4 linked regions of the Saccharomyces cerevisiae S288C genome follow. Changing the gene in region 1 together with any one later gene gives a genetic interaction. Each region holds a gene or a part of one and is shown in the gene's direction. Other genes may lie near its edges.

Evidence for each region.
Region 2: mutations in OXP1 (region 1) and ARO3 together harm fitness more than expected from each alone (negative genetic interaction), as found in Saccharomyces cerevisiae (one large-scale study listed by BioGRID).
Region 3: mutations in OXP1 (region 1) and GIS3 together harm fitness more than expected from each alone (negative genetic interaction), as found in Saccharomyces cerevisiae (one large-scale study listed by BioGRID).
Region 4: mutations in OXP1 (region 1) and SPO74 together harm fitness more than expected from each alone (negative genetic interaction), as found in Saccharomyces cerevisiae (one large-scale study listed by BioGRID).

The regions. Positions count from the first base shown.
Region 1 is NC_001143.9:23,933-34,373, reverse strand, and holds OXP1 (5-oxoprolinase), read left to right. Parts: upstream 1-3,686; coding exon 3,687-7,547; downstream 7,548-10,441. Other genes in the region: DOA1 (Doa1p), read left to right, coding at 267-2,414; YRA2 (Yra2p), read left to right, coding at 2,681-3,292; URA1 (dihydroorotate dehydrogenase), read right to left, coding at 8,215-9,159; JEN1 (monocarboxylate/H+ symporter), read right to left, coding at 10,290-10,441. UniProt on the Saccharomyces cerevisiae protein: Catalyzes the cleavage of 5-oxo-L-proline to form L-glutamate coupled to the hydrolysis of ATP to ADP and inorganic phosphate.
Region 2 is NC_001136.10:516,424-523,905, forward strand, and holds ARO3 (3-deoxy-7-phosphoheptulonate synthase ARO3), read left to right. Parts: upstream 1-5,392; coding exon 5,393-6,505; downstream 6,506-7,482. Other genes in the region: YDR034C-C (gag protein), read right to left, coding at 1,617-2,933; YDR034C-A (uncharacterized protein), read right to left, coding at 4,093-4,269; cysteine-rich palmitoylated domain-containing protein CPP3, read left to right, coding at 4,891-5,046; mitochondrial 37S ribosomal protein mS47 EHD3, read right to left, coding at 6,788-7,482. UniProt on the Saccharomyces cerevisiae protein: Stereospecific condensation of phosphoenolpyruvate (PEP) and D-erythrose-4-phosphate (E4P) giving rise to 3-deoxy-D-arabino-heptulosonate-7-phosphate (DAHP).
Region 3 is NC_001144.5:324,593-332,436, reverse strand, and holds GIS3 (Gis3p), read left to right. Parts: upstream 1-3,198; coding exon 3,199-4,707; downstream 4,708-7,844. Other genes in the region: IOC2 (Ioc2p), read left to right, coding at 322-2,760; NYV1 (Nyv1p), read left to right, coding at 5,022-5,037, 5,179-5,924; SUL2 (sulfate permease), read right to left, coding at 6,212-7,844.
Region 4 is NC_001139.9:182,853-190,476, reverse strand, and holds SPO74 (Spo74p), read left to right. Parts: upstream 1-5,082; coding exon 5,083-6,324; downstream 6,325-7,624. Other genes in the region: Ca(2+)/Mn(2+)-transporting P-type ATPase PMR1, read left to right, coding at 9-2,861; HUR1 (Hur1p), read right to left, coding at 2,681-3,013; SUA5 (threonylcarbamoyladenylate synthase), read right to left, coding at 3,138-4,418; RNA-dependent ATPase ROK1, read right to left, coding at 6,393-7,624. UniProt on the Saccharomyces cerevisiae protein: Involved in the pathway that organizes the shaping and sizing of the prospore membrane (PSM) during sporulation. Probable component of a core structural unit of the scaffold that initiates synthesis of the prospore membrane.

The DNA.
Region 1 (10,441 bases):
GCAATGCGTGCGTGTGCAAGCTCTTGAATATTGAAGGTCTACAGGTTACTAAAACAATAGGAGCGAGGCTTGGACGTCGAGAAAGTTGCTGACCTTGGCATTTCCTTTGCGAGTTTTTCAAAATTTTTCACACTCGTTCAGGACCACGAAAAATAAATCATATGAGATTTTAGTACGCTGATAATAAGGGAAGGCCACTGTCTTGGCTTATTTTATATATATATATTCATGTGTGATAGTAAGGTGTAGAGCAGCAGATTTGGAGTATGGGATATCAATTGAGTGCAACACTTAAAGGGCACGATCAGGACGTCAGGGATGTGGTAGCTGTGGATGATTCAAAGGTTGCTAGTGTTTCGAGGGATGGAACAGTTCGCTTGTGGTCTAAAGATGACCAATGGCTCGGTACGGTAGTTTATACAGGACAAGGATTTTTAAATAGTGTGTGTTATGATTCCGAGAAGGAGTTGTTGCTTTTTGGAGGTAAGGATACTATGATCAACGGTGTGCCCTTGTTTGCCACCTCAGGAGAGGATCCCTTGTATACCTTGATTGGCCACCAAGGGAACGTTTGTAGTTTATCCTTCCAAGATGGTGTTGTGATAAGCGGTAGTTGGGACAAAACCGCAAAGGTTTGGAAAGAAGGATCGTTGGTTTACAATTTGCAAGCACACAATGCCTCTGTATGGGATGCCAAAGTCGTATCCTTCTCAGAAAATAAATTCTTGACAGCTTCCGCCGATAAGACGATTAAACTGTGGCAAAACGATAAAGTGATCAAAACTTTCAGTGGGATTCACAATGATGTAGTAAGACATTTAGCTGTGGTGGATGATGGCCATTTTATCAGTTGTTCAAACGATGGCCTCATCAAGTTGGTTGATATGCATACAGGTGACGTACTAAGAACATATGAAGGCCATGAAAGCTTTGTTTATTGCATTAAACTGCTGCCCAATGGAGATATTGTAAGCTGCGGCGAAGACCGAACAGTCCGTATATGGTCAAAGGAAAATGGTTCGTTAAAGCAGGTAATTACACTTCCTGCCATCTCTATTTGGTCCGTTGATTGTATGTCTAATGGTGATATTATTGTGGGAAGTAGTGATAATCTTGTGAGAATATTTTCGCAAGAGAAGTCAAGATGGGCTTCCGAGGATGAAATAAATGAACTATCTACGCAAGTGGAAAAATCCACTATAAGTTCCAAGACAATAGAATTTGATGAGTCTAAACTATCACCTTATGAAATTTTACAATCGCCGGGGCGCAAAGAGGGTCAAATTGTGGTAGTCAAATCACCTCAAGGTACTATAGAAGCTCATCAATTTTCAAATTCTTCATGGAAAAAGGTTGGTGATGTTGTCGGTGCAGGTGCTACTGGAAACGACAAAAAAATAGAATTCGAGGGTAAAACGTATGACTACGTATTTGATGTGGATATTGAAGATGGAAAACCTCCCTTGAAATTGCCGATTAATGTCAGCGACAACCCATATACAGCAGCCGACAATTTTTTGGCTCGTTATGAACTGCCAATGAGTTATAGGGATCAAGTAGTACAGTTCATACTGAAGAACACTAATGGCATATCGCTAGACCAGCCCAACGATAATGCATCATCTTCTGCAGTATCACCTTCAAAAACGAGCGTAATGAAGGTTCTTCCTGTCAAGCAGTATCTTATCATGGAAAATTATAACCCAGATACTATTTTCAATGGAATAGTAAAAATAAATTCAAATGAGAAGACCTTTGATGATGAAATTCTGGCGCAAATTGGTGGCGCACTACATGACATAGATGAAAGCTGGGAGTTGCTACTTTCATTTGCTAACACTATAAGATCTAACTGGGAAATTAAGACTCCTGCATACGACATAGTACGATTGATTGTAAAAAAATTACCTTATTCTTCAGATATAAAAGATTACATCGAAGAAGGCTTGGGCAATAAGAATATCACTCTAACCATGTTAACTGTGCGTATTTTGGTAAATTGCTTCAATAATGAAAACTGGGGTGTGAAATTACTGGAATCAAATCAAGTTTATAAATCAATTTTTGAGACTATAGATACTGAATTTTCTCAGGCATCTGCTAAACAGTCACAGAATTTGGCTATTGCAGTTTCCACACTAATTTTCAACTATTCAGCTCTCGTCACGAAAGGGAACTCTGATTTAGAACTTTTGCCTATCGTAGCTGACGCCATCAACACCAAGTATGGGCCATTGGAAGAGTATCAAGAATGCGAAGAAGCCGCATATAGGCTAACCGTAGCTTACGGAAATTTGGCTACTGTTGAACCTACATTAAGACAATTTGCCAACTCCGTAACTTGGCTTGCAAACATCAAAAGGAGCTATGGGAACGTGCCAAGGTTTAAGGATATTTTCGACGATCTCTCCTAATACTTTTACAGCAATCATATAAAACACATAATGTCTAGATAGCAAATAATCTTTAAAATTCTTTCTGCCCTATTGAAAATTATGACAAACTATCACGGTCATTTTCTGTCTAACTCGGCAAGAAATTATCATCGTGAAATGAAAAAGGTTACATACAATAAGGTTATTTTGAGTACAGACTGATAAATAGATGGAAAAGACTAAAAAACTGAAACGATAAGCGTCTAGTACCTTTTCCATTAGACGATTCAATACTGCATTTTGCAATGGACAAAGCATTTGACGAAATTATTGGAAATAGTCACACAGACAGCTCATCTAATCATAAGGTAACGAGATACCGCAGAAGGGATTTAAGAAATGAATTAGGACCTAGACTGGGATTTGCGCCTTCGGATGCTGCATCAAGGTCGAAAGATCGCCTTTATAGAGAGAGGGAAGAGCCTCCTTTGCCTAAGAGAATTAGAATATCCAAAATCCCACTAGACGTTTCTGACTACACCCTCGATGATATGATTAAAGAGTTTGGCTCGCCAATATTTTCGAAAATTTTTGACAATAAAGAGGATCGTACATGTATTTACGAATTTGAAGACCCAGAAGTTTTGGAAAAGATTGTCGAGCGTTATAATGGACATGAGTTACATAATGCAAAAATTGAAGTGGAGATTTACCAACCACAGAGAAAGCATTCTAGAATGAATGCCCACAACCGTCGCAAACAGACGGCTCAAGAACACGGAAGAGGCAGGCCAGGGAGCCATTATCGCCAAAAGCCTAACAGAGTCTCCAAAAAGAACAAGGGCCGTGAGAAGAATAACACTCCTACTTCTGTCGAAGCTCTTGACGCTGAATTAGATGCTTACATGAAAGGTTAAGCAATTGTGTATCTACTTATAATTTCTTTATAGTCTTTTCAATGTTTTTTTACTCCATCAGTCTACAGATATGAAACCTCAGTACTACTTTTTACCTAAATAATTAATTTTTATTTCTAGAGGGTAGCAATGATAAACACTTTACCAATCTCTGGAATTAAGAACAAGCGTACTCCGCTCTATTCAGTATTATTTGCATGAATACTTCAACAATTGTTTTGTTTGCCTCAGGTGCTTTTCCGATTGAGCACGATCGCCATAACATTACCACTGAAAAGAAAGATAAGATCAAATGTTACGTGGTGTTGAAGAAAGAATGCCAAAAACTAAGAACTGAACTTAAACAGTAATAATTTTGAGCATTGAAAACCTAAATATAACTTCTTGGTATACAATGCAGAAAGGAAACATAAGAATTGCCATCGATAAGGGTGGAACTTTCACTGATTGTGTGGGGAATATTGGTACAGGTAAACAAGAACATGATACTGTCATCAAGCTCTTGTCGGTGGATCCCAAAAACTATCCAGATGCTCCCCTTGAAGGCATAAGACGTCTCTTGGAGGTGCTTGAACACAAGACAATTCCTCGCGGTATTCCTCTAGACATCTCTAATGTGAGAAGTTTAAGAATGGGGACAACCCTAGCTACAAACTGCGCTCTAGAAAGAAATGGTGAACGTTGTGCCTTCATTACTACGAAAGGCTTTAAGGATTCATTGCTGATTGGAGACCAAACCAGGCCAGATATCTTCAACTTAAATATAAAAAAGGTAGTGCCATTATATGACACTGTAGTTGAAATAGATGAGAGAGTTACTTTAGAAGATTTCTCGGAAGACCCTTATTTTACCAAATCGTCTCCTAATGAACAAGAAGGTATCCTGGAAGGTAATAGTGGCGAAATGGTAAGGGTCATAAAGAAGCCAGATGAATCAAGCGTAAGATCTATTCTGAAAGTGCTTTATGCTAGCGGAATCAAGTCTATTGCGATAGCATTTTTACACTCATACACTTTTCCAGACCATGAGCGAATTGTTGGTAATATTGCCAGGGAGATTGGGTTTTCTCATGTTTCATTATCATCTGAAGTCTCTCCAATGATAAAATTTTTACCGAGGGCTCACAGTTCTGTCGCAGATGCCTACCTTACTCCGGTAATTAAAAAGTACTTGAATAGCATTTCTGCAGGTTTGAGCCACGCAGAAGATACCCACATTCAATTCATGCAGTCTGATGGTGGTTTAGTGGATGGGGGAAAATTTTCCGGTTTGAAATCTATTTTATCTGGTCCTGCAGGTGGCGTAATAGGTTATTCTAGTACATGCTATGATAAAAATAATAACATACCCTTAATAGGCTTTGACATGGGAGGAACATCTACTGATGTCAGTAGGTACGGCGATGGGAGGTTAGAACATGTTTTTGAAACTGTTACCGCAGGGATCATCATACAATCTCCTCAACTTGACATCCATACTGTTGCTGCTGGAGGAAGTTCTATTTTGTCATGGAAAAACGGGTTATTCAGAGTAGGCCCTGATTCAGCAGCTGCTGATCCAGGCCCTGCAGCCTACAGAAAGGGCGGGCCTTTGACCATTACAGACGCCAACCTCTTTTTAGGACGTTTGGTTCCTGAGTTCTTCCCCAAAATTTTTGGGCCCAATGAGGATGAATCACTTGACTTAGAAACCACTACTTTGAAATTCAGAGAATTAACAGATGTCATCAATAAGGATCTGAATTCAAATCTAACCATGGAAGAGGTTGCCTATGGATTTATCAAAGTAGCTAACGAATGCATGGCAAGACCTGTGAGGGCCATTACAGAAGCAAAAGGACATGTAGTATCTCAGCATCGGTTAGTTTCCTTTGGCGGGGCTGGCGGGCAACACGCCATAGCGGTTGCAGATTCATTGGGCATTGACACTGTTTTAATTCATAGATATTCTTCTATCTTGTCCGCTTATGGCATTTTCTTAGCAGATGTTATTGAAGAAAACCAAGAGCCTTGCTCTTTTATCTTGGGTGAGCCAGAGACCATCTTGAAAGTGAAAAAAAGATTCTTAGAACTTTCTAAAAATTCAATCAAAAACCTTTTATCTCAGTCGTTTTCTCGGGAGGACATAGTCTTGGAAAGATATTTAAATCTCAGATATGAAGGTACTGAAACCAGTTTGATGATATTACAAAAATATGATGACCAATGGAATTTTAGGGAATGGTTCTCTGAAGCTCATAAAAAAGAGTTCGGATTCTCATTCGATGACAAACGAATTATAATTGATGATATAAGGATAAGAGCAATTGGGAAATCAGGCGTTAGAAAAGAAAAAACGGTTGATGAGCAATTGATTGAAATTTCCCATTTCAAGAAAGCCGACGTGTCAAAGGATGCTAGTTTTACCCAGAAAGCATATTTTGACAACAAATGGGTCGACACTGCGGTCTTCAAAATTGATGATCTTCCTGCCGGAACAATTATCGAGGGCCCAGCCATATTGGCTGACGGTACCCAAACAAATATTATTTTACCAAACAGCCAAGCAACAATTTTAAACTCTCATATATTTATCAAGATCAACCAAAAGGCTGCGAAGACATTATCTAAAAGCGGATATGAACTTGATATAGATCCAATCTTATTGTCTATTTTCAGTCATAGGTTTATGGATATCGCCCTCCAGATGGGTACTCAATTGAGGAAAACTTCTGTTTCAACTAACGTCAAAGAGAGATTAGATTTTTCATGTGCACTATTCGACTCTAAAGGAAACTTAGTCGCTAACGCTCCTCATGTACCTGTTCACTTAGGATCAATGTCAACCTGCATATCAGCACAGGCGAAGTTATGGGAAGGCAAATTAAAGCCTGGTGATGTTTTAATCACAAACCATCCGGATATTGGTGGTACTCATTTACCAGACATAACAGTAATAACTCCTTCTTTCTCTTCAACTGGCGAATTGATATTTTATGTGGCTTCAAGAGCCCATCATGCAGATATTGGAGGTATTCTACCCGGTTCAGTGCCTCCAAATTCCAAAGAATTGTACGAAGAAGGAACCGCAATTTATTCCGAATTGGTTGTCAAAGAGGGAATTTTCCAGGAAGAATTAATTTACAAGCTTTTCGTAGAAGATCCAGGCAAATACCCAGGCTGCTCAGGTTCAAGAAGATTTAGTGATAACATAAGCGATTTAAAAGCGCAAGTCGCAGCTAACACAAAAGGGATACAGTTAATTGGGTCATTAACTAAGGAATATGATCTGGCTACAATATTGAAATACATGGCTGCAATTCAGACAAATGCATCTGAATCCATAAAAAAAATGCTTGCAAAAATGGTTGAACATTTTGGCACAACGAAGTTTTCTGGCGAAGATCGCTTAGATGATGGAAGCTTAATTAAACTACAAGTTATCATAAGACCTGAAAAAGAGGAGTATATTTTTAATTTCGATGGCACTTCTCCCCAAGTTTATGGTAATTTAAATGCACCAGAGGCTATTACTAATTCTGCGATTCTTTATTGTCTACGGTGTCTAGTAGGCGAAGATATTCCTTTAAATCAAGGTTGTTTAAAACCCTTAACAATAAAAATTCCTGCTGGTTCCCTCTTGAGCCCCCGATCCGGTGCTGCTGTTGTCGGAGGCAATGTATTAACTTCCCAAAGAGTGACAGATGTAATCTTAAAAACATTTAACGTCATGGCAGATTCTCAAGGTGACTGTAACAACTTTACATTTGGAACTGGAGGAAATTCTGGTAACAAAACCGATAAGCAGATCAAAGGCTTTGGATATTATGAAACCATATGTGGCGGCTCGGGGGCTGGTGCAGATTCATGGAGAGGAAGTGGTTGGAATGGCTCAGACGCTGTACACACGAATATGACCAATACAAGAATGACAGATACTGAGGTATTTGAAAGGAGATACCCCGTTCTGTTGAAAGAGTTCTCGATCAGAAGAGGTTCAGGAGGCAAAGGTAAATATACTGGCGGAAATGGCGTAGTAAGGGATGTTCAATTTCGGAAGGCTGTAACAGCATCTATATTATCAGAACGTCGTGTCATTGGCCCTCATGGTATAAAGGGAGGACAAGACGGTAGTAGAGGTGAGAATTTATGGGTAAGACATAGCACAGGCGCATTAATCAATGTCGGCGGTAAAAATACGATTTACGCTCAACCCGGTGATCGATTCATCATTAAAACCCCTGGTGGTGGGGGATTTGGACAATACAAGGATTAAAGCATTTCTTTTTGGTTCTTAGTCAATATCGAATTACACGGAACCATTGGTATACCGTGGATGCGCCAGCCACAAATTGACTTTTACAGAAAGTACAGTTTAATTATATAAGAACAGGCACTTAACAATGTTTCGGAACTCTGTAGATAAAACCAAATTACTCTTTCGAAAAGGCTACATTCTACATCAAAATCACCTGTGCAATATATATATATATATATATATATATATATATGCACATATTCGTTAATTTCTTCACTTTTTTCCCCAAATATTAAACAGATGGCTTCATTTCTTCAACATTATTTTCTGGTTCCTATGCCATTTTTAGCCTACTAATAATTATCGTTGAAAAATGTTTCTTGAATAAGTCTTAATGTAAGGATATATCATATGTTGAGATATAAAAATTTAAGTATAAATGAATCAAGACAATAATTTACATTGATTAAGTTATTTCAAAGTATAAGTATTTAGTATCATCATCTATTAAAGCACATTGAACCCTAATGTATGATGCCAATTGCGAATGCACTCACCGAAAAATTAAGGAATTAGCATTTACCAACTATCCTTGATTTATGCAATTTCAAAATAATAAAATATTCATACGAATCTTAACACTCTTCCATAACTTGTCCCATCATAGTTCTTCAAATTCCGATAATTAAATGCTGTTCAACTTCCCACGGAACTGATCTATGGATGTATAACCCTTAGCTTCCATTATGTCTTTTAATTCTTTTTCGATACGTTCAAAAATCTTGACGCCCTCTTTTTGTAATTCTGTACCAATCTGTAGCATAGAGGCACCACATAGAAGATGTTCAAATGCATCCTTACCGGACTTAATTCCACCTGTACCGATAACTTTGATTTCAGGTCTCAAACGAGTGTAAAATGCACGAACATTGGCGAGCGCGGTTGGCTTAACATATTCACCTCCAATACCCCCGAAACCATTCTTTGGCTTCACTACTACACTCTCCTTCTCCACATCAATGAAAAGACCATTTCCTATACTATTGATAGAGTTGACATAAGCTAATGGGAACTCGTTCAATATTTTTGCCATGATATCAAAATGGGCAAAATCAAAATAAGGAGGCAACTTGACACCAAGAGGTTTTTTGAAAAAGGCAAAAACCTTTTCCAAGGTTTCCTTTGTCAAGTCAAAGTCATAAGCAACTTGTGGTTTCCCAGGCACATTAGGACAAGACAAGTTTAACTCGGTAATACCGTTGAATTCGCTATCTTGGATTTTCCTCAACAAATTTAAATTTTCATCAATGCTCATACCAGCAACTGAGAAGAAAATAGCAGGTGCATCAGGATAATTCTTTTGACGGTTTAATACATAGGACAAATAGTAGTCGATACCTTCGTTTGGTAAACCCATGGAGTTGATACTGCCTAGAGGGACAGAAATGTAACGTGGTTCAGGGTTACCTTCTCTTTCTAAGGTTGTAGCACTCTTTGTAATGAATGCGCCAGCTTTAGAGTTTGCTAATTCATCTAATTCTTGTGTAGTCATGCAATGAACACCGGATGCATTCATAAATGGGTTTTCATAGGTATTGTTCAAGAACTTGGTAGTTAAACTGGCTGTCATGTTTGGTACGGAAGTTCAATTTTTTTTTGAGTAATTGTGTATATCTATTTGAAACGTCTAGTAGTCCAAACTGTGTAATCCAAGAGAAGAATACCGGTTCCCGATGCGTATGCCATGCCATATATAAAGCTTTTTTTATTTTTTGGTGATGGGCATCTTGAAAAATTTTCGGCGAATGCCGAAGATCGTGAAATAACCTTCGGCAAAGCCCGGTGAAGAAAATGGCTTCAAGAACATATTAGTGAGAAAAAGTAGGCTGTAGTGGCTGAAGGATAACATTTAGTAAAATCACCAAATCTAAAGTAGAGTAAATATCTAATAAAAAAGGCTAGAATTGTTTCGAAGTTTATCGTCCGATCTTATTACATGGGGAATACACTATTTAGGGTGGGAAGATACCAGATTGACTTGGATCCAAGGTTAGGGAATGACCTCAAGAGGAAAAAGCGACATCTGTAAGATCGAGGATGCTCCTTTTCCTTTTTTCCCCAAATGGGCCGCAGCTGTGAAGCATATCGTTATCATATACTGCATTTTTCTGCTATCGTTCTATGGATGCGATACGTAATATCTTGATACTTACTTCCTTCTGCAAGATTTCTATGGTAAAAAAGCTTATGTAGTGAAACCTGCACAGGCCGAGCTTTGATTGTGTATAAGCATACATCCCCCTTCAAAGGTGAAAAGTAATGTCGAAGTATATGGCTATCCAGCCGCACACTGTCCTCAGGGCCCATTCAGTGCAAGAACCAAAATGCTATATTTCTGAACGGCCTAAAATGAATAACGAAATAATTTTTTCCACTTTTACCAATTTGCTGTTCGACTAACATTTCTTTTCTATTACTATTATTGTCTTATAGTGGCAAAAGCAAGCAAAACAATTTAAATTCTTAGACACAGTAATCTACCATCTTGCTAGTGTTAACGGCTGTTATGTTTCTTGCGGCGCTATTTAAATGTACTTACATTCTAATCCCTTCGAGAAAATTAATACAACAAAAATTCTAACTTTAAAGTATGTCGTATATCATGTCTTTTATGTAATGTTATAAAGGCTATAATATGAATATATGTGAAATGCAGTTACATAGAGAAGCGAACACGCCCTAGAGAGCAATGAAAAGTGATTAAACGGTCTCAATATGCTCCTCATATGTCTTTGAGACGTTCGAATCAATCATCTTCACTGAAGCACATTCCGTCTTTTGTTCAACAATGTCACTAATCGAAAGACCATCGGCTTCGTATTCTTCCACTTGGTTTATATATTTCTTCATAA
Region 2 (7,482 bases), on another chromosome or scaffold:
CGGCATCAACTTCTTTTGGTGCACGTACTTTTTGGACTGGTTCCTTGTCTAATTGTAAAGGGTTTATTGATTGGGACGAGAAGTCGTTCACTAGAGGATCAGAGTTTATTTCAATCTCCGATTGATAGTCATGATCAGATTCTGTATTTTGATCATATGACTGCTCTGTTTCATTTTTTTCAATAAAAGATTGGTTATGGGCTGTTAAACGATTGAGATCATCATCAAAGGTGAGTGTATCATAATTGAATTGGTCCAATTTGGATTGCTTGTCTTGTAATATAACGTAATTGGTAGTATCTACTGTCTTTTTTAATGATGGAAGATAGATAATATAGCCATAAGAGTTTCGTGACGGATGTAAGGCGTAACCTGGAATGCCACGAGGATGTATTTTCGAGTCGGGATTATGGTTGTTAACTATAACCGGTTGACCGAAAGGTAGTATAGTAGTAATGTCCAGTCCAGCTAAACCTGCATGTTGTCTTGCAGATTTATCGTTTTTTGGTGAGACTAATGAATTTCTGATTATAGTAGAAAATTCGACTGCTGAGAACCATAGATGATTTGGTAGACCACTGCAATGAAGCAGTGTGCGACAATCGTTTAATAAAGTACGATTTAATCGTTCAGCGACACCGTGTGCTCTAGAATCTGCCGTGGTTGTATAGCATGCAGTAATACCTCTGTTCGTAAAGAACTTATGAAGAGTTTTGTTAGTGTACTCGGAGCCACGATCCATCTGGATAACTAGAACGCGAGCATTGAATTGGTTCTTAATAAATGCTAATATCGATGTAAAAACATTGAGGATAGATTCTTCACGACGGTCGTGTAATGGGTACACCCATTGGAATCTGGTTTTCTCATCTGTAAACGATATAAAGTAAGAAGGTGCACTTTTCGGTAAGTGATGTACAGGACCAAATATATCGGTATGCAAGTACTGAAAAGGCTCATATGATTCTTGGTACTTTAGTCGTGATCCTTTGACATGTCTATGTTTCGTGCTTTTGCCGATTAGACAGTCAGGACATTGATATGTGCTAGCGTTAGACCATTCAATATCCGATTCCTTCAAATATGTAACTGCATTCTTCTTAAGAGACTTCTGAATACTTCGGAAGTTAGCATGTCCAAGCATTCGATGTATTAACGGATATGGATATTTATTTACGCTTTTGCTTTTGTTGACGTTGTTTATTGTTAGCTTTGAAATGTGCGAAGGAATTAGGTATTTTTTAGATAACCAGTAAAAGTCTCCATGTTTGACTATGGGAGCTAGTACTGTACCATCCGATCTTTCTAAAGTGTTTCTGGTAAAGCAGGCAGTAATATTTTGATTAGCCAGCTCACTCAAACTTAATAGATCATAGGCTATGTTTGGTGTGTGTAGTGCTTTTATTGATGTTTTGGTGCCGTTCTGAAAGTTGAAGTGAAGATTACCAATGGCATTTATAGGAATGTCTTGTTTTTGAGCATCGACTATGTTTATTTCAGAATTGGGTGTTGCATGGTGTAAATAATGGGCTGATCTGACAAGCGTTTGCGAAGCTCCTGAATCAATAAGAAGGTGATCAGGTAGTTCGTCATTCGAGTCTATTGTGTGTGTTGGCTTAGATTCTTTCTGTTGCTGGCCTAAGACTAAGTTCGTTGTCATCGCTTAAGTATTGTGATGAAACGGTTGATTCATTAATGTGATCATTGTTCACCCTTGAGAATTTACTAGATGTAGCAATATTGTGAGCTTTTGCTGCTCTTGGTTTTGAACTATTTGTTCTCTGATAATTACGAGTTGTAACCTTTGTGTTAGTCGTGTTTGGAGATGTGCGAGAAACATTTTTGTATTCGCTGTGTTGTTTGTATTGGGACGGTTTATTTAGATTCATGATTTTATTTTCGTCATATATTAATTGAATTTCAGCGAATAATTGGGAAAGTTTCATGTTCGTTTTGGTACGATATTGATTACGTAGGTATTTGAAGTCACCGGATAGACCTTTAAGTATTAGTTGACAGGCCAATCTGTCGCTAACATTGATATTGTTTTCTTTTAGCCTCTGAATGATCGTACTGACTGTAATTTCAAATGTATCAGCAGATGTACTTCCGTCGTACTCAAGGTTGGCAAGAGCTATCCAATCCTTTAATTCTTGATTGTTAGTTTGCATTTTGGACACACTTTTACAAAGGACTGTAAGGATGTCAGCATAATTAATTTCTAAAATTTGTTTTACCCATGTTGGCAATAAATGAAATGGGGCAAATGCTTGGAAGGTATTGTATATATACGCATGTTCTTCATAAGTCATTTGTCTTTTGATTTCACCCTGGTCATTTGGAATGATGTCACCGAGATTAGAGTTCTTCAAAAATCTGATGTAAAATTTAACCCATGTAGAAAAGTTTTCTTCTGATGTTAAAGTGTGTGGTGGTAAGACGTTATTTCCCACCTTTGTCTTAGCTTGAGGTATTTCAGAGTGTTGATTTTTTAAATCGATTGGATCAGGTGAGGAAGTACTCAGTGGTGGGATATACTGTGGCAACGGATAGTGTGGGTCCGGTTGATAATACGCAGGTGACGTTTGATAATGTGAACACGTCATCATAGATGGTTGTTGGTAATGTGCCCAGTTAGAGGCCATAGCTTTGTTTGGGGTCATCATGCCGTGCTGTTGGTACTGTCCATTCTGTGGAGGTGGTACTGAAGCAGGTTGAGGAGAGACATGATGATGGTTCTCTGGAACAGCTGATGTCCCAGGTGTTGTCTCTTGTTGAGAATTAACCTTAGTGGAATCTCTATCAAATTCCGGTAAATTGGAAGCTGAAACGGCTAACGGATCTTGATTTGATGGGACTTCCTTAGAAGTAACCGAAGCATAGGCGCTACCATGAAGATTGGGTGAATTTTGAGATAATTGTTGGGATTCCATTTTTAATAAGGCAATAATATTAGGTATGTAGATATACTAGAAGTTCTCCTCCAGGATTTAGGAATCCATAAAAGGGAATCTGCAATTCTACACAATTCTATAAATATTATTATCATCATTTTATATGTTAATATTCATTGATCCTATTACATTATCAATCCTTGCGTTTCAGCTTCCACTAATTTAGATGACTATTTCTCATCATTTGCGTCATCTTCTAACACCGTATATGATAATATACTAGTAACGTAAATACTAGTTAGTAGATGATAGTTGATTTTTATTCCAACAAGAAAAATACAATCTTCGAAAGTCATCCTCCCTTGAATATTCTTTCTTACCTAAACGAATAAGAACAGAATCTGAAAACAGGCAAGTGATTTTACGGAGGGTTGGCCGAGTGGTCTAAGGCGGCAGACTTAAGATCTGTTGGACGGTTGTCCGCGCGAGTTCGAACCTCGCATCCTTCAATAACTTATTTTTTTCCTCAATCTTCGATATTAGACATTTTTTTTTTCCTATGCCTCCCTTTTCCAAGTAATGTTTTTTTTTTTTTTTTTTTTTTTAGCTCCTCTCACAAAAGTACTGAGGACTGAAATGTAAAAACTAATAACACAATAGAAATAATCATATGATGATATAGAAAAGAAGAGAGGAGACAATCATAATATTATACGAACTCATGGCTTTCCTTATGGGAAATTCTACATTCTCGATAGTGACCCTGGTATATTCAATATACTTAGGAATAACTGTCTTTCATAACAATGGCGGCCATACGATTACCGTATTATCCACCTATTCTTGATATTAAACTGGAAATTCTGTGAATTTTGTGATAATTGTTGGAATTCCATTGTTAATAAAGGCTATAATATTAGGTATACAGGGTTTACTAGAAGTTCTCATCGAGGATTTAGGAATCCTCAAAATGGAATCTATATTTCTACATGCTAATGTTACGATTATTCCTCATTTCGTTTTATATGTTTCATTATCCTATTACATTATCAATCCTTGCATTTCAGCTTCCTCTAACTTCGAAGCTTTCCATAACTTCTGTCATCATCTAATACCGTATATGATAATATATTGATAGTATGACCACTAGTTGATACACTGTTGGAATAAAAACCAACTATCATCTACTAACTAGTATTTATGTTACTAGTATATTATCATATACGGTGTTAGAAGATGACACAAATGATGAGAAATAGTCATCTAAATTAGTGGAAACTGAAACGCAAGGATTGATAATGTAATAGGATAATGAAACATATAAAACTGAATGAGGAATGATCGTAATATTAGCATGTAGAAATATAGATTCCATTATGGGGATTCCTATATCCTGGAGGAGAACTTCTAGTATATCTACATACCTAATATTATTGCCTTATTAAAAATGGAATCCCAACAATTACATCAGAATCCGCACAATTATCATAGATGATAATGGATTTTTATTCCAACAATCAGCATGCCTTTTGTATTTCTGTAAAGAAGAGTAAACCATAACCTAAGTCAATATCAAATTTAGGATTGATGAATTTTCTACTCAAAATGCTTTGTTCAAGAAGGTACGAAAGAAGGTTCCAATCGTCCATTTTAGGGTCCTATAGTGTAGTGGTTATCACTTTCGGTTTTGATCCGGACAACCCCGGTTCGAATCCGGGTAGGACCTTTTCTATTTTTTAACCCTCTTGTTTTATTTTTCTTTCTTGGCTTTGAATTGCACAGCCCCTCGCATTTTTTTTCGATACCCTGAAAAAAGGAAAAAGGCGAAGAAATAAGGGCAATTTCTATTTAAAAATTATACAAGCTCGATTTTTCATTTTCTCCTTCCCCTCTCGCCCCTCCCAGTTTTCAACTGTATTTAAATGTTTCTCAGTTATGTTGTGAATTAAAATAATCCTAATTGTCAACTAAAAAAGTCTAAGTTAGCAATACCAAAATGAGGCATCATCAAAATATGCATTATGCCCCACAACAACAACCAGTCTATGTCCAACAGCCTCCTCCTCGGAGAGAATCCGGTGGTTGCTGTAGAACCTGTTGTCACTTCCTATGTTGTCTATGTTTAATTAACCTATGTTGTGACGTTTTTTAATTCTAATCGACAGCTAAAAATTAGTATGGAAAGAACATCATATTTAGCCGCTGAAAAAAAAGAAGCAGCTGCGTATCTTCTCAAATTTATGCGTACATAGTGACATATATTTAAAAGCTTCCTCACTTTCCTTTTTTATATTTTTTCATTGCTCAAGTATTAGTCACATCGGAAAGTATGCTTGCTGCATTAAATACATGCATGTGTTTATAAGTGTTTGCATTTTCTCTCTCTTCTTTTTTTTCTTCCTGTTACTTGTATACGAACGACATATTTATTTTCACTATTTCTCATTTATATTTATAGCTACTACCCCTATTACGTTACAAGAACACTTTATAGCATTATGTTCATTAAAAACGATCACGCCGGTGACAGGAAACGCTTGGAAGACTGGAGAATCAAAGGTTATGATCCATTAACCCCTCCAGATCTGCTTCAACATGAATTTCCAATTTCAGCCAAAGGTGAGGAAAACATTATCAAGGCAAGAGACTCCGTCTGTGATATTTTGAATGGTAAAGATGATCGTTTAGTTATCGTGATCGGGCCATGTTCCCTACATGACCCCAAAGCCGCTTACGATTACGCTGACAGATTGGCTAAAATTTCAGAAAAGTTGTCAAAAGACTTATTGATTATTATGAGAGCGTATTTAGAAAAACCAAGGACTACTGTTGGCTGGAAAGGGTTGATTAACGACCCTGATATGAATAACTCTTTTCAAATCAATAAAGGTCTACGGATTTCGAGAGAAATGTTCATAAAACTGGTTGAAAAATTACCCATTGCTGGTGAGATGTTGGATACCATTTCTCCGCAGTTTTTGAGTGATTGTTTCTCCTTGGGTGCCATCGGCGCCAGAACTACTGAATCCCAACTGCACAGAGAATTAGCATCCGGTCTATCTTTCCCTATTGGATTTAAGAACGGTACTGATGGTGGTTTGCAAGTCGCCATCGACGCTATGAGAGCCGCTGCACATGAACATTACTTCCTTTCTGTCACAAAGCCAGGTGTCACTGCTATCGTGGGCACTGAAGGTAACAAGGATACCTTCCTGATCTTGAGAGGTGGTAAGAACGGTACTAACTTTGACAAAGAAAGTGTTCAAAATACTAAGAAACAGTTAGAAAAGGCCGGTTTGACTGATGATTCCCAGAAAAGAATTATGATCGATTGTTCCCACGGCAACAGTAATAAAGATTTCAAGAACCAACCAAAGGTTGCCAAATGTATTTATGACCAGCTGACGGAGGGTGAGAATAGTCTCTGTGGTGTTATGATTGAGTCCAACATAAATGAAGGTAGACAAGATATTCCCAAAGAAGGTGGCAGAGAGGGATTGAAGTATGGTTGTTCTGTTACGGATGCTTGTATTGGCTGGGAGTCCACCGAACAGGTATTGGAGCTATTGGCAGAAGGTGTTAGAAACAGAAGAAAGGCCTTGAAAAAATAGCCTGTAAATGAGGGAAAAATGCAAATAATCTTGAATGATACTCAAAACTTTTGATTTATTGTAATTTCTTTCTGAACCATATTTATTACATTCAAACTTTTTTTTTTTTGCCTTTTATAAAAAAAAATACTTATAAGAAAAGAGAAAGAAAATGACAGTTTTCTATGTATCATTAAATAAACATCCATATACAAATATAGCGTTATGTTTTACTTTTATTATTTACATGCATAGAAGTGTTGGCAAAATTCTTTACGAGCCACGGGGCTGCTATTTCAGGTTTTATTTCCATCTTAAGCCATCGTTAACTTCTTCACATTTTCTTTCACAAACAATTTTACATAGCGATTGGATACCCAGTTTCCCTCTTCTAGAAGGAATCACATTGGCAAAGTGATTTAGTACTTCTCTTTCGGTAACTTTGGCGCCAGTGTCATCATTCGTTCTCTTTTCAATATACGCAGCGATTTCCTGTTCTGTAGGCAATTGGTATTTAGAATGGTAGGGATATTGAGTCCAAGTAACATTCGAGGTATTTCTTAGTAATGACATTGGTAGCGATGGTTTAGGAGATGTGATAGATGTCAACTGAGATACAAATAACTGTTCCTTCTTTGTCCATGGATACGGGACCCTTTGTTTATCAATAAGTTTATGCTTTGTGGCTTCAGAGAATTCCACCAAAGAGTCCTGGTTCATGCACATGTTAGCTGCTGTGTATAAGTCTCTTTTGATAGCAGATTCTATGTGATCTCTGGAATTCTCTTGCACCAATCTCAAGGCGATTTGAAGAGAGGATGGTGACTTGGTTAACAATTTCGTTTTGATTTCTTGTGCGAAAGCCTTACCTTCCGCAGAACCTTCATATTGACGTAAGTTATTCATTATGTCTTCAATAGTACCATTTTTAGACAAGTTAAAACAGGCTTCAATAACGTTTAATTTCTCGTTAGAATACTTGAAAACATAATCTTTTG
Region 3 (7,844 bases), on another chromosome or scaffold:
GTGGCCCGTCCTTGACTGTGAATTTGTGTCAACGGCGTGCTCTATTCCTTGCTTAAACGGTGGCAAAGCAGGACTTCTAGGTCCACTTGAGCTCTTCTTTTCCTTTTCCAACCTTTTTAAATTTTCGTTGCTAGACCAAGTTACCGCTATCACCGCACACGGAATGCGAGAGCGTCAAAAGTGACATAATTCTTCCTTTCCAGCAACATTAACATTTATTTATTCAATAGTGACACGACTAAGAAACTAGATCAATTGCTCTATTTTACTCATACACACTGGCTAATCATATATAGATACAAAGCGGTGAATCAGCGATCGATGAGAACGAAGAGAACTAGGGGTACAAGAAATGTAGGAGCGAGCATGCCTGCCGGCGCTGCGAATGCGGATAGTGAAGACTGGAAAGAATATGTCTCCGAAGACATAATAGCCCAATTGAACAAGCACCAGCTGCCGTATTCTGAAATATTAGATGAGAAGATCGCGGACTTGGCCAATCACTGGCACTTCCAGTATGTGATGGCTTGGCTTTCCAATGTCTGCGAATCATATACTACAACGACATTTAATACTGACCAGTATGGCGGTAGCTCTACCAAATGCTTGTGGAAGAATATCAAATTCGATGAAGGTGTATTTGTAACTGACGTATTTTCGAAGATAGACGGGAAGGACTCGAACTATTACAATGATGAAGTCGACGTAGATGAAGGATCGCAAAATTTGTACGACAGAATTAGATTGCAATTATTGCATCAATTAGCGGGAAATAAAAGCGGGCAATTGAAAGATTGGAATGTTATAGTTAACCATCACTTGCAAAACTCGAGCGCGTATTCAGATTTGGTTACGGACTTACCTTTTTTGGAGCTTGAAATTGCACGCCAATTCGACATCATTTACAGTATCATAAAATTAATTGAAATGAAAAATATGATCTTCAAAAACTACTTAGCGAATAACTTGCATCTGTTTACGTTTAGTGAAGTTATACTGGATGATGATAATAGTGGAGGGGAGGAAATGAAGAGCTTGTTTGCCTTACCCAATGTTGGTGTACTCGTAAAGAAAACCATTCACAGAGTAAAAGAAGGCTCTTCCTCCCAAGTCTCTCAAACTCTGAATATCCCAATAAAACTACAGAACTGTACTATAAAAGAAAGCGACCCAGACATTCCTGATTCAGTGGAGCTTATTCATCTCGAGTACTCTCACGATATCGATGCATATCTTCAATCGATTACAATTGATTATGATGTGATTACAACTAATTGGGGGTCCATGCTAGAATACTGGTCAGAGAATAAAAGTTCGAAAGCCATAGATGAGTTCATAACTAACTTAATACCGGTGTATGCCGAACATAGACTATATTCGGCAAAACTTTTGGCCAACAGAGAAAAGGAGAGAGCAATTGCGGAGCTAATGACAAGGAGGAAAAGATCTTCGAGACTGGTAGCGAAAGAGGAAGAAAACAAGAAAAAAGACTTGGAAAGTGAGTGGTTTGAAAAACTAGATGAAAGAGAACAATTTATAAGGCACAGAAACAAGCTAGTGTCGAAGGAAATCAAAAAGATAAAAGATCTTCTTTGGAACCAATTGTGGCAATTGTACGATCAAGATTATAGAGATGAAAAATTGACCAGGCGTAACGAGCTCAAAGATAGAAGTGGTTCTGGTACACCGTTTTTTGAAACGTCTTTGGGCAGGGAGGAGGACAATCCCTTAAATGAAATCGATATCGGAGTTCTTGATCACGGCCCTAACTTTCAATCTAGTATAATCCCGGTGGAACCACCAATTCCTGGAACTGTTGGGCCACTACAGACGGGAGACGTCCCTGAATTGCCTAGTGACTTCTGCATAACAAAGGAAGAGCTAGATGAGCTTGCCAACTACGGGATCTTTACTCCGCAGCAAGAGCCCGACAACCAAGATTCTGTTTTCCAATGTCCGGGCGAACCAGAGCTGGCGCCCATGATTATCACCGAAGACACGGAGACTGACCTCTTCAATAACCGCCCATTGATATGCTGTGATCATTGTTACAGGTGGCAGCATTGGGAATGCCAACCTCCAAAAATTATAGAGCTTATATCTTCAACCACAAAATCCCCACAGCACACGCTGTCGCAACGTGATTTTGGCGTCATCATAATGGGAAATTCGCACGGCAATAGAAGGTCTTCTCGCAGACCCCAATCCACACTTGAACCCAGCACCAAGTCTTCAAGACCTACTGATAAACGCAAACCGCTGTCTGAATGCTCCACTTTTATCTGCGCTTGGTGCATCAGGGACTTGGAACTTGAGCTGCGCAACATTTTTGTGCCTGAATTGAAAATAATAAGGGCCAAACAAAGAAAACAACAGGAAGACCGTGAAAGAAGAAAAAAAATGAAGGAAGAAAAGAAAAGGCTCGAAGAGCTTGCAAAGAAAAGGGAACTAACCGAGTCTGTCTCACCTCCAGTGTTTAATAATGCATTTGCAAACATGTCAAGTAGCACAACGCCTAGTATCGCCGCTTACGAAAAAACAAATCCAGCCATCAATCCAGCACCTAATGTAAATGCCGCTCACCCCATAATTACATACTCGCAGCAAACTGGCAGCAAAACTGTACCACAAGCACCACAGGCACCACAAACATCACAAGCATCAATCCAACCACAGCAGCAACAGCAACAGCAACAGCAACAGCAACCGCTGCACCCTAAAGAACAGAACTTTCACTTCCAGTTCCCACCAACCAACTAGCCTCATATAGAAATACACAGCAAAAGTATATAGTAAAATATATATCAACTGGTTCTTCATGAAACTTTCTTTTCCAGCCGCACATCCGTAGGGCTTCTGTCGCTTCATGTCGGGTAATAATGATGCTTAGGGCTTAGCGCCAAAATAATTAGGGTGTATGAGGCGGCTCCTGACTAGGGTCAGACGGCATTTTTTCGTCTTTTTTTATCCGGTTTTTCGTCAGTGGCCATCCTTAATGCGCGGCAAAGGTGCTGAAGGCGCCTTATTGTGTTAAAAAAGCCAATGAAATAAAAGTGGGATGGTGAGAACGCCAAACGAGTGAAACAGAGAATGGAAACTCGCTTCTTCACAAGTATTTGATGGCTAGTTTTCTCAATTACTTGTTTCTTTGGATAGACACGAACATACAGAACACTTTCAACAAGACATAATTATAGAATGCTGCTGGACGTGAACACAAATCACACACTAATGCACGATGCTCATGTGCATGAACATTGCCTCATCAAAAGCATACGTGATGATGGCGCATTGCACTCATGGAGCGACTCATCAAAGGTATTTTATCCCAAGTCATTTTACGCTACCGCTACTAATAAGAAGAATAACAAGTTAGCCAGCGCCAGCATGAACAAGACCGCCACAAGTAATAGGACGGTGAGCGATGAGATTTATTTCCACTCCACTAAGCCGCAGTTCGATGGTCAAGGAAGCGCTGAACGTACTAGAACACTAACCAAGAGGAATAGCTTCAAGAGGACTAGAATACTGAAGGCTCGAGACGATTCCGAACTGCTGAACGAAAATCGCTCATCTTTGATGACCCCGTCCTTAAGCTCGGTCATGTCGCAAGTTAGGAAAACAAATTCCGCCAAGACGTTATCGGGCGAATGCCCCATACATGAGGGCCACTTAACACAGAGCATAAAGAGGAAGTTCTCCGAGGAAGCTCAAAGCGACTGTTCTTCATTGAGCTCCTCTAAACTTCATCCCTTGACAGATGATATTGCTGACGCTGTCGATTTGCAGACCCCCGCGATTGGCGATGAGGTACTGGCTGAGCCGGTCGTGCCCAAAATGAAAATAATAAACATAAATGATCTCGATTTGTTCGACGACTGGGAGGTTAAGGATTTAGTCGATATCTTTCCTCCCGTATACGAACGGCGTCCGCGATCGTCCTCTGCCCTTTCACTGGTTTCTGCGTCGTCCGATGCCAAACTTCGTCCGACCTCTGTGGACTTCCAAATCATCGACAAGAAAGGCGGCAAGACTTCAAGAAGGAAGAGTAGGAGCAAATCGACTACAGAAAACATGATTTACGAAAATGACCTGGTAGAATTAGAACAATGGCCATCTGCATCACCATCGCCCGAGACCGACGGTTCGATTGCATCTAGCGAGCTCTTGCCCAATAAAAGAATAAGACAAAAAAGTTTGAATACCAATTTCCTAAAGTTATACTCTATTGAAACATCATGTAAAAGGAAGAGTATTTTACCCGAAGTCGAAGTAGATGACCATCTGTTGAAGCAGCTAACGTATTCCGAAATTCGGTCTTTGGAAATCAAAAAGGAGCCAAATGTCTCTACGAACGATATTAAGCTTGCCCTAATTACTAGGAAAAAATTATGGTCTGACATGGTCCATGAAACAAGAAATGATCTTTTTGGCGATTCTACCCCCTGGAATTTGCACTTTGTTGCAACGACAAGCAATACGGAACCTTCGCAAGGCCGTGAATCCGCAAGCGAACATGCAACGGCGGATTTGAAAAGTTCTTTGGTCCGCGTACACTCAGACGTCAAGCCATGGTTCAACAATGGCGGCACAATGCTCAAACCATGCGGAAAACTAAATTTAGGCAAAGTCACCAATAAGACTTCCGCACCTACGAGAGAGATTCAATATGTCGTAAAGGGCTGGTGTGACAGCAGGTTTCTCTGATAGACCCCCCACCTTTTCATCGCCTTCACCCCACCCATTTGCATTATCTAAAAATAGTAAACTATATATTCTACCACCACATTCATTATATATAATATTTAAAACAACGCATTACCACCAAGCGCCCGGGTAATATTCGCCTCAAACGATCGAAGAAAGAAAAAATGAGGTCACAATAATGATGAAAAAAAGCCCCTCTATGAATTTTCTAGCACTTGACTAAGTTGGAGCAACAGCTATTAAATTTGAAGAACAGAGTGAAAAGCGACAATTTATTAAGCTGTTAGAGCATTGGACTTTTATATTTTTACCAAATGAAACGCTTTAATGGTATGTATAAATATTTCTACACAATTAACAAATGTTTAAAAAAGGGATTATGCGAATGCTCATCCCCCCATGCCATAATTTTACTATGTTACATTCAGTAGACTAACGTTCCATTTTGCTTGATTTTGCATATGGTCTTAGTAAGTTATGTGGAAGTTATAAAAAATGGTGAAACAATATCTAGTTGTTTCCAGCCGTTCCAGAAAAACGAAAACTATGGTACAATAACTTCAGCAAACGAGCAGATAACGCCGGTCATTTTCCATAATTTGATCATGGATATGGTATTACCCAAAGTAGTTCCGATCAAGGGGAACAAAGTTACCAAGATGTCAATGAATCTCATCGACGGATTCGATTGTTTCTACTCCACGGATGACCATGACCCCAAAACTGTGTACGTTTGCTTCACATTAGTAGATATGCCCAAGATTTTGCCCATCAGGATACTAAGTGGGCTGCAGGAATACGAGTCCAACGCTACAAACGAACTTTTAAGTTCGCATGTAGGTCAAATACTAGACTCTTTCCATGAAGAGCTGGTCGAATACCGTAACCAAACTTTAAATAGTTCTGGAAATGGCCAATCTAGTAATGGGAATGGTCAGAACACTATAAGTGACATCGGGGATGCCACCGAAGACCAAATAAAGGACGTCATCCAGATAATGAACGATAACATCGACAAGTTCTTGGAGAGACAAGAAAGAGTTTCTTTATTGGTGGATAAAACTTCCCAACTAAATAGCAGCAGTAATAAATTTAGGCGCAAAGCGGTCAATATAAAAGAAATAATGTGGTGGCAGAAGGTCAAAAATATTACGTTATTAACTTTCACTATTATACTATTTGTAAGTGCTGCTTTCATGTTTTTCTATCTGTGGTAAGTAAATAAAAAAAAAGGGGAGCTGTCCCACGACAATAACATTAATAACGGTTGTATTTCTTTTGTTCCTGAGAGGAAGAGAAAAATAAAATAAAAATAAGGTAAATATTTATAGGTATGTATATGCTCACGATGGCACCATCCTACCTATTATTTCTTATTATATAAACAGTGTCTATCTCATTATGATATTAAATGTATACTTTTAAGGGGGAAAACTTTTTGGTTTAGGAATATAGAAAAAAAGAGATGATATAAATGTTTGCATGTCCATTGTAAATGCATTGGCTAGATATCCCATTTAGCAAAATCTGGGATATCGATATGGAAGAAAGGTAGATTTGTTCCTGAAGCGGTATAAACGCTATATTTTTCAGGATTTTCTTCGCCTTGAGGTACTCTGGCGACGTGATAACTTGTATGACCGGCAACAATGGATTCATCACTGTATTCTTCGTTCAGAGTACCAAATCCTCTGCTAATTAAACCTCTCTTCACCCATGGTGAAATGATACCCACAAAGTGGAATTCAACTTGCCTATCTGCATATTGATTTATGGCCTTTCTCAAATCAACCAATGATTGAAGAGCCGTAGCGTCTGTCTGTGCCACTTGTGAGAAGTCTAAGCATAGTATTTTCAGCAATGGCCTGTCATCTCTTTCAACATCGACTGAGGTGCTGGGCGCGTTTTCCATGGATTCAGGGTCGTTCTCCCTTTTCTTCCAGAATTTCAAATTCTTTAAGAAAGCAGGTGCTTCCCATGGACCAGGATCATTCCATGGACGGTCAGATTTTTTTCTGTGGCGAATTAATTGACCACGTCTGGTAACTTTTTTAACTTCTTCGGTTATGATGTTGTAGTGTCTGGAACAGTTGAGATAGGTGTAGCTCTCTGATAGCCTATAAACAAGAACACCGTCTGGTGGGGGGAGAATCTGAACGTCCGGGTTCAATTCTCTTGTGTATTTATGATCAAACGGTATCCATTTAGTATGGTATTTTATCCTTGGCTGGCTAATCGAAGAAGATGGAGAATCAAAGCCCTTTGTTTGAACGTTTGTTTCTATTTTCTTGGAGGAATTTGTGACGTATTTGGTGGAACTTTCCTTGTCATCCTCACCACCATCTTCTAAAGTGGAAATACCATTGTTATTTTCAGACACGTAGCTAACCACATCGGAGTCCGGTCTGACGTAAGCATCAGTAACTTCAGCGACTTCCACACGACCCAAGAATTTTCCCGCTGGGAAAGCCACTTTTAAAATGAGCATTGCACATGACCAGCACATGGCAAAATAAATACCATCTTCAATAGAGGCAAATACCGTTATTAGGACGGTGACAATGAAACAGATGAAGTCCAATGGATTCATCTTCCAGAAATTCCAGGTAGTTTGATAAGAGGCCAAAAGATCAGATACAGCGTGAATGATAACTGCAGATAAGGTAGCCTTTGGAATGTAAAAGAATGCGCCGGTCAAACAATATAATGCTAAAAGAACACATGAACCCGAAAACAAACCAGATAACGGCGTACGGACATTACATTTAGCCTTCAAAGCAGACCTTGAAAAGGAACCAGTCGCTGGGTAAGCATTGAAGAAAGTACCTAAAAGGTTCGAGACACCAATAGCAATCAATTCTTGGTCGGGGACGACTTTATAGTCGTTGATTCTACCAAAAGACTTCGAAATAGCGATATGCTCCAACAATAACACAATAATGGATGCAGGCAAATTTGGACCAAGCTTAGACATTAATCCTGGTGGAACATGGAAAACCCCGACTTCTTTCAAACCGGATGGAACTGAGCCTAGGATGCTGATGGGCCTCTCCGATTTAGATTTGCCTCTTGTGATTGCCCAACCAATACAAGTGAATACAATAATAATGATACCATTTCTGGAAGCCTGAGCGTAA
Region 4 (7,624 bases), on another chromosome or scaffold:
AGATAATTATGAGTGACAATCCATTTAATGCGAGTCTTCTTGACGAGGACTCAAACCGTGAGAGAGAAATACTAGATGCCACAGCAGAGGCCCTTTCGAAACCAAGCCCTTCTTTAGAGTATTGTACTTTATCCGTGGACGAAGCTCTAGAAAAACTGGACACTGACAAAAACGGTGGTTTACGATCATCTAACGAGGCCAACAATAGGAGATCACTTTATGGCCCCAATGAAATAACCGTAGAAGATGATGAAAGTCTTTTCAAGAAGTTCTTGTCAAATTTCATTGAGGATCGAATGATTCTACTTTTAATAGGATCCGCAGTGGTCTCTCTTTTTATGGGTAACATTGATGATGCTGTTAGTATCACACTGGCCATTTTCATAGTTGTCACTGTCGGTTTTGTCCAAGAATATAGGTCTGAAAAATCTCTAGAAGCGTTGAATAAATTGGTTCCTGCTGAATGTCACTTAATGAGATGTGGTCAAGAGAGTCATGTACTGGCTTCCACCTTGGTTCCTGGTGATTTAGTGCACTTCAGAATAGGTGACAGAATCCCCGCAGACATTAGAATTATTGAAGCAATCGATTTATCCATCGATGAAAGTAATTTAACTGGTGAAAATGAACCGGTACATAAAACCTCACAAACGATCGAAAAATCTTCCTTTAACGATCAGCCTAATTCAATTGTACCGATTTCTGAGAGATCTTGTATAGCTTATATGGGTACATTAGTCAAGGAAGGTCATGGTAAGGGTATCGTCGTAGGAACAGGTACAAACACATCCTTTGGTGCCGTTTTTGAAATGATGAATAATATTGAAAAACCGAAGACTCCATTGCAGTTAACAATGGACAAATTGGGAAAGGACTTGTCACTGGTTAGCTTCATAGTTATTGGTATGATTTGTTTAGTTGGTATCATACAAGGTAGATCTTGGTTAGAAATGTTCCAAATATCGGTATCCTTAGCGGTTGCTGCTATTCCAGAAGGGTTACCAATTATTGTCACTGTTACTTTGGCATTGGGTGTTCTGAGAATGGCCAAGCGTAAAGCCATCGTGAGAAGGTTACCAAGTGTCGAAACTTTAGGCTCTGTCAACGTTATCTGCTCCGACAAAACAGGTACACTAACCTCAAACCACATGACCGTATCTAAACTTTGGTGCTTGGACAGTATGTCCAATAAGCTAAACGTCCTCTCATTAGACAAAAATAAGAAGACTAAAAATTCTAATGGAAATTTGAAAAACTATTTGACTGAAGACGTTAGGGAAACTCTAACTATCGGTAATCTCTGTAATAATGCATCTTTCTCTCAAGAACATGCCATATTTCTGGGAAATCCTACTGATGTAGCTCTTTTAGAGCAATTGGCAAACTTTGAAATGCCTGATATCAGAAACACCGTTCAAAAAGTTCAGGAACTTCCATTTAACTCGAAAAGAAAATTAATGGCAACCAAGATTCTCAACCCTGTCGACAATAAGTGTACAGTTTATGTTAAAGGTGCATTTGAAAGAATTCTTGAGTACTCCACAAGTTATTTGAAATCAAAGGGTAAAAAAACTGAAAAGTTGACTGAAGCCCAAAAAGCTACGATAAATGAGTGCGCAAATTCTATGGCATCTGAAGGTTTGCGTGTCTTTGGATTTGCTAAACTAACTTTGTCTGATTCATCAACTCCTCTAACCGAAGACCTAATCAAAGATTTAACCTTTACTGGTTTAATCGGTATGAATGACCCACCAAGACCGAACGTTAAATTTGCCATCGAACAATTACTACAAGGTGGTGTCCATATTATTATGATCACTGGTGATTCTGAGAATACCGCAGTAAACATTGCAAAACAAATTGGTATTCCAGTTATTGATCCAAAGCTTTCCGTTTTATCCGGTGATAAATTAGATGAAATGTCAGATGATCAACTGGCCAATGTCATCGACCACGTTAATATTTTTGCTCGTGCTACGCCTGAGCATAAGTTAAACATTGTTCGTGCATTAAGAAAGAGGGGTGATGTGGTAGCAATGACTGGTGATGGTGTTAACGACGCTCCTGCGTTGAAACTTTCAGATATTGGTGTTTCTATGGGTAGAATTGGTACAGATGTAGCCAAAGAAGCCTCAGATATGGTCTTAACTGATGATGACTTCAGTACTATTTTAACTGCCATTGAAGAGGGTAAAGGTATCTTTAATAATATTCAGAATTTCCTGACTTTTCAATTGTCTACTTCTGTTGCCGCACTATCATTAGTTGCACTATCTACAGCGTTTAAACTACCCAATCCACTGAACGCAATGCAAATTCTTTGGATAAATATTTTAATGGATGGGCCACCAGCTCAATCCTTAGGTGTGGAACCTGTTGATCATGAAGTTATGAAAAAACCTCCAAGAAAACGTACCGATAAAATTTTGACCCATGATGTAATGAAACGTTTACTAACCACCGCGGCCTGTATCATCGTTGGGACAGTTTACATTTTTGTTAAAGAGATGGCCGAAGATGGTAAAGTAACTGCTAGAGATACTACTATGACATTTACTTGTTTTGTTTTTTTTGATATGTTTAATGCTTTGGCCTGCAGACATAACACAAAGTCAATCTTCGAAATCGGCTTTTTCACGAACAAAATGTTCAACTACGCCGTTGGACTGTCTCTGTTAGGTCAAATGTGCGCTATATATATACCATTTTTCCAAAGTATCTTTAAAACTGAGAAACTTGGTATCTCTGATATACTATTGTTATTGCTCATCAGCAGTAGCGTTTTCATCGTTGATGAATTGAGAAAATTGTGGACGAGGAAAAAGAATGAAGAAGACTCAACGTATTTCTCAAATGTTTGATATGTCACATTTTGTGCTTTTATCGTTTTTCCTTCCTTCCCTTTATCTTTCATGAGGACGCCCAACCCTATTGAGGTAAATGTACTAATTAATGGGAACATATGTAGATGTATATATGTACATATATTTACAACGGATACTAAGATAAACATGTATGGGCGACTTTTCGTATATACAAAGCAATATAAAATTTTATTCTTTCCTTCTTTTTCCGGACTAGATATAAAATCTCCGTAATCAGTGGTTATGATTTTCAAAAGTTAATCACAGTTTTATTTAAAACTGTATACAATTATTTGCAGCCGCCTTTCGCAATCTGTTCATAACAGCTAATCCTTCTCCTTCCTCATTTATACCTTCGACAAATATTAGGTCTACTTTATCATTTTCATCCACTTTTCTTAAAGCTGCAAACAAGTTAGTCTGTATTTCTTCACCAGATTGGCCAAGTCTTTCGATGATGAAAGTTTTCGAAGAAAAATCGGGTTCATTAAAGATCTTAGATTGTAAGTCGGAATCACGTAATTTTAGGGAAGTTAAAATCGCAATTTTTTTTATATTACTGTTGGCTTTTAATTCCGTTTCGATTAACCTCTTTAATCTTTCCATCCTATCAACGCCCTTAAGAATGCCATCGCCTTCGCAATGAGGAACTAGTAAAACAACTTTAGCTGAAGGGGAATAGTGTCTATACTTCATACCAGGCGTTCTTACCTTTTCGCCCTTTTCAACTGTTTTCTTATTCTCAACTTTACAAAGAGACCAAGCTTCACCACCCAATTTAACAATTTCTTCATATGTAAAACCGCCAGGTCGCAGTAGCGTAGGAGGATTACATAACCCATCAACAACAGTACTTTCTACACCAACCTTGCACGCTCCGCCATCAAGAATTATGGGAATTTTATCCTTTAGATCATGATAAACATGAGACGCTAAAGTAGGAGATGGCCTAGTAGACGCATTCGCTGAAGGAGCAGCTATTGGTGTATCGCTCAGGGCAATCAGTGCTCTAGCCACTGGATTAGCGGGTATGCGTACCGCAAACGTAGGCTGATCTGCGGTCGTTAACTTTGATAATGCACTATGCTCTGAAGATGGAACTGGCAAAAGAATTGTTAATGGGCCAGGCCAAAGGCTTGAAATTAATGGGCGATAGATTGAGGGTATGTTATCAAACAAGGATGTACCTGATAGATGCGGTTGATTAAAGACCTTTCTGTTAAGTTGATCAATGGATGAAACATGTGTAATCAAAGGATTGTCACTAGGCCTATTTTTGGCCCTGTATATACTAAGCACTGAATTATCATTTAAAGCAGAACCTCCAAGACCATAAACAGTTTCGGTTGGAAAAGCCACAGTCTCATCTGTATCTCTTATTATCCTCGCCGCTTCAACTAGCGCTGCTTCCGTTTCAGGATCTGTTATCGTTGGTAAGGAACCATCTATATGCGCATCAGGGGAGAAAATGATTGATAGCGGGTTAACTTTTAAGATCTTGGTATCAAACAGTGCTTTCGATGTCATTGCCAAAAAATGTCGTCCAAGGTACATACAATTCTAAAAATGGAATAATAAACAGGACTACCATTAAAAATGGAAACAGGTTTAGTGGTAAGTTAACAGCGCAGAAGAAAAAAAAAATTTGAGGAGAAGAATAAAGCTCTCGCTTCAAATATTATCAGCTTCAATAGGTATGTGCGATGAGGTTACTATCTTCTGGGTGAAAAAATAGTAAGGCTAGCGTAGATAATGATTTGAAATTTCTCAAAAAAATATTTTTGATACATATAATAATTTTGAAGCCTGAATTTTTCAACGAAATAGCCTTGTTGGCGCAATCGGTAGCGCGTATGACTCTTAATCATAAGGTTAGGGGTTCGAGCCCCCTACAGGGCTATCTTTTTTAGGCTCAAATCAAAAAAATGTCTAATATATTAAATTCTACTTCCTTTTTATATCTCAAAGAAGAAGGCATTTAACCCCATTCATATGGTTTACACTTGTGTTGAGATTTGTTGCTTGCGCTTCTTTTATCCTTTTAAACCGCTTATTTATCCTTTCCAACGATAAGGCTCAAATGACATCAATGTTCTCTTTTGTGTCACAAGAAATATAAATAACAACAATAAAACATTAGGTATTTAGTTGGAAGTCAAACTTGAAACTCTTCCCGGTTATGTTGTATTGGCAAGGAAAGAGCTGAATTGGTTGAGTGATGGGAGCTGGCACTCTTTTAAATGGATTAGAAAAGGAAAACTTTCCAAATAACATCCATTCAGATTTGCCTGCGTATCCTAACATGGATTCTCAAGAAGATGGCAATACTAGTAAGGAAAGTAAAAGAAATAGTCCAGTAAAACAGAAGTCCCAAAAAGATGAAGAAAAGTCATCTAAAATGGGGACTGCAAGCAACATATTCCATGAAAATAAAGATATACACGAAAGATCTGAACACACGGACGATTTTAATGATGGCTTAAAACTGGCTCCGGACTCTAGTCCAAGCTTGAAAGAGTGTCAATTTAAAAATTGGGAAAGTTTTTGGTGTAATACAGAAGGTTACAAAACTAAACACATGCAGCCCTTTCATTTTACAAGCGGATTAGAAGAAATAAAGGAACCGGTCATGGAATTGAATATTTCCACTTCACCATACAAGGGACAGAGGCCAAATTCAGCTCCAACCGAGTATTCAGCTGCCACAACAGCGTTTACCAAAACACAATTAGAGGTGAGTTTTCTAAAAACCAACTTGCTTACATACATTAAAAAAGAGATTGACATTTGCTTGTCAAGTGTTCCATTTTTTGACGACGCAGTTCAAATGCAAAAGAAATTCTTGGAATACAGAGATATTGACTTGGATGAAGAATATGAGCTCAAAATTTTGGGGGAACTTTTGAATGATTTAAACTTCTTTCATATGCAAGAAAACTCTTTGCTAAATAGAGAGCTAGCAGTTCGTAGATTCTCCAATCAACCTGAAAGTCAAAATTTACCTTCCATTAGGGATTTTAGAAATCCACTTTTGCCAATAGATAACCGCCCTTCTCCCCCATTAGGATTGAAAAGAAACGGAAAGTCTTTCGAGGAAACCTATGATTTCACGTCCAATACATCAAATTTTTGGGGAGAAAAAGCAGAACTACAAAACTCCATAACTGGTGGAACACCCTATTTTTTCCACCCTAACAATATACATCAAACAAAACCTTTTATGTCATTTGAAAATCAAAATGAACTTCTATTCCAGAGAAAAAATTCAGATTACAAGCAGCATTTTAACTCTGGAAGAAATATACATAATGGAGTGGAATCGAAATCTTACAGAGGTGTGGGGTTAAACGATAGTTATCAAAAGGGTTATGCAGCAATGACAAAGTCGTTTGGAAATATCGATTTAAATAGAATGCCCAGAAGAAGTAATGAAGAAATGTATAGCTGGTCACGTAATTGATCAATGAAAGTAAATAAAAAAAACTACTAATCATATATACATGTCTTGCATACGCACGTTTGTTTATATTATTTCGAGAAATGTTTTTTTGAAAGTTCTTCATTTTTTCTTCTTTTGGATGCTGCAATCATTTCTTGTTGACGTCTTCTTTTGGCCTTATCCATCTTAGGCACAGTAGTAATCTGCTTTCTTTCTTTATGCGCTTTACCGTTTTTTATACTTTCTTTCTCCTTTCTGGTCATTTTAGCCATTTTATCCATCCACTCAGATACTTCACAACCACTTTGTTTCATGACATTTATTATTGGTTTAATAGCTACTGAGTCTTGTTTAGTATAGAATGTGATAGCTTTACCTGACCGCCCACCTCTACCTGTTCTACCAATTCTGTGAACATAAGCCTGAGACGATCCTGGAACGTCATAATTGATGACCAGATTGACACCTTTGAAGTCAATACCACGAGCTAAAACGTCGGTACAGATCAAACACCATAATTCACCAGTTTTAAATCGTTCAATAATCCTGTCTCTTTGTAAGGCTGTTCTTTCTGCATGAATCACATCTACGTTAATCCTATCGTACATCAATTCATGATATAACGCTTTTGCTCTTGTAATAGACTCTAAAAATATTATGATCGGTGGCTTGAACTCACCCTCTTGAACGAGTTGTCTAATAGCAATTAGTTTACCCTCTTCATTACCACAAAATATTAATTTTTGTTCAATATTTGTATTTGCTGCTTCCTTGTGGCCAATAATAACTCTAACAGGATCCATCATTATACTTTGTGCAATCTCTTCTACATTGGATGGAATGGTCGCAGAAAACATCGCTTTACGCAACGATGGCTCTCTACAGGCGCTCAAAATATCGTCACTCTGTTCAACGAATGTTTTGTCAAACAATTTATCAGCTTCATCAAATATCAAATGCTTAACTTTGGAGAGATCGAGAGCTTCGTTTTTCACAACATCGATTAGTCTTAATGGGGTAGAAATGATTATATCATATTTCTTATCACTAACTACCTTGTTTTTCAATTTAGCGCCTAAAGATTTAGATAAGAGTGCAACTTGCAGAGGCCTTTTTTTCTCCAAAAATATCTTGTAAGATAGCTTAAAACATTCAATAAAAATTTGGTTCGCTAATTCCTTTGTAGGCGAAATGATTAACCCTTTCAACCCTGCAGTTTGCTTGTCATCAATAATCTGCTGAACCAGCGGAATTAAGAATGCTAACGTCTTACCAGACCCTGTGGGACCACATGCCAAAACGTCTCTATTATTCAAAGCAA